Coturnix japonica: one gene and its partner. The main gene of each other region encodes a partner of the protein of the gene in region 2 in a complex. Links are inferred from orthologs where the notes say so. Each region holds a gene or a part of one and is shown on either strand. Other genes may lie near its edges.

What was found.
Region 1: the proteins of NAA50 (region 2) and NAA15 are in contact, whole or in part, in a cryo-EM structure (PDB 6PPL), measured with the Homo sapiens proteins. The link is inferred for Coturnix japonica from reciprocal best matches to the Homo sapiens genes NAA50 and NAA15. Residues at the interface, in NP_079422.1 of Homo sapiens: Arg5, His14, Asn15, Lys17, Gln18, Arg21, Leu22, Val25, Phe51, Asn52, Ile54, Ala55, Leu80, Pro82, Tyr83, Leu86; in NP_476516.1 of Homo sapiens: Pro369, Pro370, Thr371, Leu374, Ser403, Thr404, Pro405, Thr406, Leu407, Ile408, Phe411, Glu433, Ala436, Leu437, Asp438, Thr439, Ala440.

The regions. Positions count from the first base shown.
Region 1 is NC_029519.1:25,692,332-25,696,706, reverse strand, and holds part of NAA15 (N-alpha-acetyltransferase 15, NatA auxiliary subunit), read right to left. Parts: intron 3,916-4,375; coding exon 3,722-3,915; intron 2,049-3,721; coding exon 1,940-2,048; intron 1,368-1,939; coding exon 1,269-1,367; intron 659-1,268; coding exon 515-658; intron 1-514. UniProt on the Homo sapiens protein: Auxillary subunit of N-terminal acetyltransferase complexes which display alpha (N-terminal) acetyltransferase (NAT) activity. The NAT activity may be important for vascular, hematopoietic and neuronal growth and development.
Region 2 is NC_029516.1:71,046,769-71,051,143, forward strand, and holds part of NAA50 (N-alpha-acetyltransferase 50), read left to right. Parts: intron 1-880; coding exon 881-1,017; intron 1,018-1,457; coding exon 1,458-1,577; intron 1,578-2,595; coding exon 2,596-2,662; intron 2,663-4,301; coding exon 4,302-4,375. UniProt on the Homo sapiens protein: N-alpha-acetyltransferase that acetylates the N-terminus of proteins that retain their initiating methionine. Has a broad substrate specificity: able to acetylate the initiator methionine of most peptides, except for those with a proline in second position.

The DNA.
Region 1 (4,375 bases), on a different chromosome or scaffold from region 2:
TTCTATCCTGCAGGATAGGAGCTTTTGGCAGCATACTGTATGGGCAACAAGGATAACAGATCAGATCTGCTGCCACAGACCCCAGTTCCCTCTAGAAGAAGCATTCCTATTCCCTGCACATGGAGACTGGGGCACAGGAGAGAAGAGCACATTAAGACCTTGTTATAATACAGTGACAGAACACAACCAAAAAGAAGCTCTGAGTCCCACAGCACAGGTATGTTTGGGACCTGGATGCCACAGAAGATACAAAGAATGAATTCACTGTTCATTGTGACCAACTCTAGACTGATGGAGCCATGACAGTAATGCTGACCCGTTAAGTGGCTTGCATCCTGCTTTCCATGCATTACAATATTTCCCACTATAATACTTGATTGTGGGTACTCAGAACACTTCTCCCAACAGTGCATGGAAAAAGCAATTTTTACTTGGCTGCTGCAGATACTGAAAGGCCACTGCTAGATTGAAGAAAATACAGAAACCCGGCAGGAAAAGGAAGAAGGCAAAATACCTGATAACCTATGCGGTAGTGAGTCATAGTTCTTTTTAAGGAAAGCTTCATTGAAGTTCTTTGGATTAGTTGCTCCAAAAAGCCGATTCATTTCTTGGTTTAACACTGTTCTAACTGCATCAGGCAGATCCTTACTTTCAGATACTAATGAAGTGGAAAAAAATGTTAACCAAAGGTAATCACAATAAAATCTACTTTATGTTTTTATTTTTGTCATGCTCAAATTATCAGTATGATTGAAAAGGACATATCTCAAAGGAAGATGTATAAAATAAGGTAAGTAACCAGAACTGCTTGGAAAAAGCTCAACTAAATGGTTTTTCGATGCTCAAAAAAAAAAGCTAAAGTCATTTACTCCAATACCATTCTCTGCCTTGCTGATTAAAGCCTATTAAGCTCTAAGACTGACGTGATTCTAAACCTTACGCACTGACACAGGCTGCAAGCAGAGAAGTCATGTTATTCATTCTGCAGTTTCCATTTGCTTCTCTCACTCTTCCATGGGCTCACCACATTGCTCACAGCTGTAAAGACACTTATGTTCAAAGACTAACTCAAAGACTAACTAAATCCAGCTGCACTTACAATAAACATACCTCATTTAACACATAGTTGCTTAAAAAGCTTCCTAACTTTATTAAATATGTTGAATTAATTATGCTAACAGTTTGTAAACAAACAATCAAATACCATATGTAGGTTAGGCATCATCTGGAAACACGTACAGATGAAGTCATACCCAACAGATACATACCACTGCTGAAGAGATGAATCATACACTCATGAAGCCAAGGATGACTGGAATCTATAGCAAAAGCTCTCTTCACAGACTGAAGCATCAGAAGGAACTTCTCTGGAAAAGAAAAGAATTGGCAAATTCTTTGGTCAAAATAATGATGCTGAAACACAATACCTTCTGTTGCAGGAAAACTTAACATTTGGAATTAGAATGATCAGAACAAATTGAAGGTGAACATTTTAGGAGAACCATTTTTTTTTTTTTTTTTTCCAATACACATTTATTTAGCCAGTGAATTAGACTTGTACTAGAAAGTAAATACGAAGTTAAGTAGTTCATAAAGCATAATATTTAACTGATACTGACAGAACTAAAAACAGAGCACTTCAAAAGACTCATTAGCAAGTGTGCATCAATTCTACATGGTGTGCAGTTCTGCACACTTGTGATGCAAACAAGGGAGAATTAGTTCCATAGCCTTGTGGTTTACACGAGCAGTAAAGAAACCAGATAATCAGCAAGCGTTCCAACTTTGTATTCTTCACAGAATGCTAATGGCTATGCTGTCTGCACAATGAAATGCTGTGTCTCTACAGGGCCTGATTCCTCAATCGATCAACACGTGGTTCTTCACGTCATACATTAGAATGTGAACAAACAAACAGTTTTATTTCACCAGTACTGACCTTTTCGAAAATAAATCTCGAAGGCAAAGAGATGTGTTTCTATTTTGTTCTTCACTAAATTCTTCAGGGGGGTTAAAAATTTAATGGCTTCTTCCAAAGGTGCTTCAACCTACAGATTCCAGGAAGGACACATAGTTAAGATAACAACTAACTCTCCAGCAATTCAAGTAGCACCAAAGGGTTACCTTCAAAACATAATGCATGTGAGCCTTATGAACCTGTTTAAATTATTGCTTATTTTACCCCATGTAAGTACAGAGCCCAGTAAATGGATGGCTTTAACACAAACAAATTCAGTACCTGGACTCTTTACAAACAGACCTCTCGCATTAAAAAATTGAGGATAATTAGAACAAGAAAATTCTGTTGCCCTATGTATTTAAATTCTAATAAACACCAGTTGTTGTCTGTTTGTAACGCTTTTACAATGTTGAAGCAATATGCTCCATTAAACTGCACAAGGAAATGTTGAAAACAACAACAGACACCTCACAGGGTTCCTGCTAATCTCAGACTATCAGTTCTCATTATAAAAACTTAATGGTTTACAATTGCTTTTGGGAGCTCATGTAAACAAGTCACAGCTCTACACTTAAAAACTGTTTAGCTTTGGAATGTGACTTGTATATTCTGTGTGCTTAATGCCAAAACAGCGTATCACCCACCAAGGAAATCTGGTTTCAACTGTCTCAGAAAACCTGTTTGCAAGTGACCAGCTATGTCATAAATGGTATTTCAGTCCTGACAACCAACTGTATTTGGAGCTCTCTAAATCATGATTCTGATACTAAATATGGAATATAATTTGGGAAGATTTGTGAAAGGAATGCATTATGTAGCTGCAACTATTCCCTATAAACTTGAGGACAGCCTAGATTTTCACAACATATCCCGTAACATCCTCTGCTCCAGAGCAAGCCACTGAATCCACCCCAATCTTAACAAGCATTGGGATTCTTGCAACAGTGGGAATATAGTGTGAAGAGTTAAGTTTCTAAAGTCACTTGCTTCCTGGGTATAAGGTTCACTTTGCTTTCCAGAATACCCTGCAGAAGCCAATAATATTCATTACACATGCAATATGAAAATACTGATAGTGAATCCATCAATACCCGGATGCTATCCTACTGTGAGCAGAGCATTTTTGCTACCTGTTTTCCCAGTATGATCCCCCATCTTTTTTTCGCCAATTATTTTCCTACTCCTTCCATGTACATCATCACGATGTTCCAGGTCACCTTCCCTTCATACCCCCCAGCAGGGGGTGGTATGTCTTAATTCAGATTTCAAAATCCACATCGCTCCAGTTGACTGTTGTTTCTAAATTGCTTCTTTAAACTTTCCTTCCACATACAAAACAAACGTGATTAAATGCTATTAAAGCACTGTTTCTATATGTCTCCTTTTCCACAAAGCAGCAATGCTTAATAAATTAAAAATTAATACAGGCCATAAGGAGTCCAAAGGCAATCATGTTACATACAGACATCCACCTGTTCAGCTCATAAGTAAGGCACAGTCAGCAGGGATAGGGTGCAATCTACACATGAAGACAACTACACCTGAAACAAGAGCCTGCAACTTCAACTGCTATCATTGAAAACTTGGCACAAAAGCAGTAATTCAATAAAATTTTTTGACAGTTTTCCCATCAAACCTGCTGCCCATGAAAAGTAGGAAGGTATAAAATCACCAGGTTATTACAAAGACTTTCAAACTGTCTGCAAGCTCACAGCAACTTTTCCACCAATTTAGACTGCTTAACGAAACATTAGTAAGCACCTTAGCCAATTTCTCAGGAATAAGTTCTTCTTTTGGGCCTCCAATTTCTTCATCATCATCATCCTTCTTCTTTTTCTGATTCCTCTGTTGCTTCTCTTTCTCGGCATTCTTCTTCTCCTCTTCCAGCTGTGCTTTCTTCTGTGCTCTTCTCTGTTTATTTCGTAGCTTCTTCAGCTCCTTATCAGACATATTTGCTGTACATACACACAAGGCAAGAACAGACAACATTGATGCCAAACATTAACTCGTGCCAACTGTCAGATACCATCGACTTTTAAACCACATCTACTAACTAGCAATACTGCTATTACATTTGTAAAAGTTTGTTTACTAGTCTACATTATCAATTCATTTGTGAAATTAGGGCAATAGGGATTTGAACAATTAGAGCAAGCAGATGGCAAGACCAAGTCACTGCTGAATGACTTCAGTGTCAGGAATAAAAGCACACACCAAGACAAACTGATTTCTTCCTTAGGCATTATATAACAGAGAAATTACAATTAAGGTGTTAAATAGCATAACAAAAGTAAGGTGAAATAGCTATACTTTGATGTAGATAGCTCCAGCTCTGCTTCTAATGTCCTACAAATACCCTATATATTTGTCTCACTCTCCAATCCTGCCCTCCCTCCAATTAAAACATGGAGAATT
Region 2 (4,375 bases):
GTTCAGGCTAGTGTTACTGATCTGCTGAGGCTGAAACCTTCTGATTAAAAATAAAAAGGTATCACCAAGGTTAGTATACTGTTAAATAATTTTGGACAAGAGGTCTGTGCTGTCGGGGGAGAAAGTGAGAGGTTTTTCTCTTTCCTTATCGACCTTCTGGTTTGCAGCTAATCTGATTTAACTGGGCAGATGAGACCTGCTCCCTTTGGCTTCAACTTGATGCAGAAAAATAACTCTTCTAGTGCTACTGAGGTGCTTTACTCGAATACAACACTCAGACACAAATTTGGCTGGGAACCCAATGCACTGTGTACTTGTGTTTCAAACTAGTGTTTCTGCTCTCAATCAACAGGAAGAATGACTTCAGTGAGGATCATAATTGATGCACTTATCACCTTGGCAGTGGCACACTTACATATTAATAGGCTTAACATGAGTTTTCTGCTGCACACGTTATTAAATGTATGGTGGCATGGCACTCGTGTCTAAGTCTAAACTTTATTAATTCCTGCCACCTGTCAGTACAAAGTCTGCATTTTCTTGGTCTCTCCTAGCCTTGTCCTTCACATTTAAGTTTCTACAGAGGTTAGTATTCTCCTGGATGTTCTTCAATCACTCCATAAAGCAGCACATCTAATAAGTATATCAGTGTAAAGTGTGGCCTCAAACTCCTGTTTATACAGCACTGATTTATATTGTATTTTTGCAGTTAAAGCAGCCACTGATGAAAGTGAATTTTGTGGGTTGAACGCTGCAGTTCATCTATGTATTGAACTGATCATTGTGTGGAGCAGTTCTCTAAATATAAAGTAACTAATTTTTGGTGTCCGTAGAAATTTTTGGATTGTGTCAATGTTAAGCATGTTTTGATTTGTTCCAGTAGCCGGATCGAGCTGGGAGATGTGACACCCCACAACATTAAACAGCTGAAGAGGCTAAACCAAGTCATCTTTCCTGTCAGCTACAACGACAAGTTCTACAAGGACGTACTGGAGGTTGGCGAACTAGCCAAATTAGGTATCTATGTTCTTGCCAGCAATCATGGGCTGTGATGTGCCGTCCTTAATGCTTTTGAGTAGCAGATTCTTCTATTTTGTTGCTTAATGTAACAAAAAATAACAGCTGGAATCTTAAAAAGCTGCTGTCTTAACCTCAAAGGGTTTATGTTATAAATAGCTTCTATTTTACTATAGAGTGGTACGTTTTCTGTTACAGCAGAAAACTTCATAGATGTGTGCTACCAACTTACCTCCTGAAGTCATTTGCTTATTGCAGTTAAGAATAAGTAACACTGTTAGAGTACCCCTGGTAATTTGCCTTGGTGTTAGTCATAGTGTATGACTTTATCTGGGTCAGGGAATTAACAGCTGGGAAGGGATTTACAGCATTTAAACAAAGGAGTTGCATGTGTAGTTTGAGATGTATAACTGATAACGCTTTGCTTCACTCCCTGACAGCCTACTTCAATGATATCGCAGTGGGAGCAGTGTGCTGTAGGGTGGATCACTCCCAGAACCAAAAGAGGCTGTATATCATGACACTTGGATGCCTGGCACCCTACCGACGGCTAGGAATAGGTGAGGAGGTGGTTCTTTTGTGTCTTGAGTCATCAAACAAACAAGAATGTCTGGCCAGCCTTTTAAATTGCCTTGTAGAGTTTTTCTGCTACTTTAACCAAGATAGCTCAAGGTGTACTTTCAGAGCAGTAATTGCTTTGGGGAAAGAGTGACTTATAAAATGCTCCTGCTGTCCCGTCTTTCAGAATTTATTTATTTATTTTTAGGACTTTATTGTTCAGGATTTCAAATTCTTTTAGTCACATTGTTTTATTTCTGTGATGTAAACACTCACCTTCTGTAGATAGAAAATTGAAGCAGAAAGATATTCTAAAATAGTTAGTCTGAAGTATGGAACCTGCATGCAGTTCACGTGGGATAGTTCACTTGGATGAGAGCACCTGTGTGCTCTCTTCAAGGCTAACAAGCAGTTAAAGCATGTCGATGAGGGCATTGTCCAAATGTCTCTTAATGCTGACAGGCATGGCTGCCTCTCTAGGAAACCTGTTCCAATGTTTTAACACCCTCAAGGTAAAGAAATGTTTCCTAATATCCAGCCTGAACGCACCACCCCTACTACCCTGTGCAGTCTTGTGCCTATCTTGTCCTGCCATCAGTTCTCAGGAGCATAGATGGGCATCTTATTCTGTTTCACTACTTCAGGGAGCTGCAGAGAGGAGCGAGGTTGCCTCTCAGCCTCTTCTTTCTTCCAAGGTTTTACTTTCAAGGACTTAAATATCCTTTTTATATTGTGGAGCCCAGAAATGCATCTGTTCTTCATTGTGTTACTTCTTCATTCTTCTAAATTATATCTGTCTTTAATTTCTAATTATTGCTGCTCAGGGGTAGTAGTCCTTTACTATCCATACGACAATGAGTTATTCTCTCTGCTGCAGATCTGTGGGCCAAGTCAATGTCCTCAGCACATGGTCTGTCATTTTATCCTACTTTGGTTAACTGCTCAAGAAAGTGGTTGGCGAACTAAGTACAGAATTGATTGTGCGCTTCTGATTTTAAGTATTTCTTTAACTTTTGGCAGGAACTAAAATGCTGAATCATGTCTTAAACATCTGTGAGAAAGATGGCACTTTTGACAACATCTATCTGTAAGTAAGAGTTACACCCATACTATTATGGAGAATGAGAGATGTACATGGGATCAAACAGAGGGAAATCCAGAAGTGTTTTATAGTCTCTAAGTTGGATTATGAGACAACTTTCCTCATAAATATTTAGCAAAAAAGCATCAGAAGGAAGGTTGTGTTGTATTCTGGGTTTGTTGTGTGATACAGAGAAAACCAAAAGCTTGCTTGCTTAATCTTAAAATTGTTTTAAAGCTGTGATCTATAGCAGAATTGCATTGCATTCTTTGAAGAAAAAGGTGGAATTTATTTCTTTTTTTATACTCTCCAGCATTGTCCCATAATAGAAAACACTGCAAGCCCTGCATACAGTTTTAAGTTATTTGCTGTCTGTTGTCACTTACGACACTAATATGTATATTAGAACATCACTCCAGAGGTGCTTAACAGACTATCTGTATTTGCATTCAGTGGCAAGGCCTGGCTGCTTACTCCAGTTCTTGCAGTGTGCCAGGTCACCTGTTTGTGCAGCAGCACAGTAAACTAGGTCAGTTATCTGACACAGCTGGAGAAATCTTCTCTTAGTGTTTTGTTTCTGGGGTTGGTTGGTTTTATGTCTGTTTCCAAAATATCAGCTACATCTATGTAAGCATTTGGCATGATACTGACATGTGAACAAGCAGTGGGGTAGAGGACAGGGGTATTTGAAAGGGTTGTTTTAGTAGTTCCCTATAGAGCAGTTTTGGCCAAAATCACTTCAGAGCCAGCTCCCTCCTTGGCCACAACTTCCTGGTTATACTGGCACAATCACAGGGTGCTGTGAGGATAGTCCTGCAGCATCTGTGGGTTGGTTTCACTTAGGATGTGTTTCCACAGCAGCCTGAACTCTTGCCAGGACTTTTGGAGATGTGCAGTGAAGAGTGTTTTGGACACTGGTATTACTGACAAATGAATAACTCTCTGCTCAAGTTGAGACCTGCTCTGCCAAGGAAGTGTAAATTCCTCCAAATCCAATACTGTTGTATCTTTGTGCCTGCTCTGTAAGAGCAGCAGGTATTTTAAAGAGGAGTTGTAAGTCCGCAGGGCTGCTTTACGCTGCCTTAGCTTTCTGTGAGGAGAGGAGGATGGTAAGCAAGGAGTAAAGAGTTAAAATCCTATTCAGTGTCACATCAATGTCATCATCAGTTTTGTATTAGAGCTGTCTGAGTGATGAACCCTGCACATTGCTTTGGGTCATCTAAGAAGTGTTTCTGAAGGAAGTTTAAAAATAGTGAAAGTCTCACTTTAGAGCCTTTAATCATATATAACTTTGTTATATATTTCCCAAAAGATATCCATCACTTCCAAGTGAAGAAAAATTGAAATTACTGAGCTATCAATATTTAAGTCTTGGCTATTTGTATTCCTTAGAATAGTTTTCCTGAAGGGAAGTATTTGCCATTTCTCATATTTGTCACGGATTATTCAGGAGCTGTGTTATCTCAGGATAACCTGTGGGAAGGCCAGAACTGCAAGTCTTGGGACAACAGTCATTCCTCTCTGGATAGATAGTTCCTTTCCTTATCTTGCTTATGTTCTTTATCCTTTGTTCACAGCACAAATGCATAACTTCATACTGTGGAATGTTCTGAAACCCGTCTCTCTATCCTCGTTTCTGTCCTAGGCATGTCCAGATCAGCAATGAGTCAGCAATTGACTTCTACAGGAAGTTTGGCTTTGAGATCATTGAGACGAAGA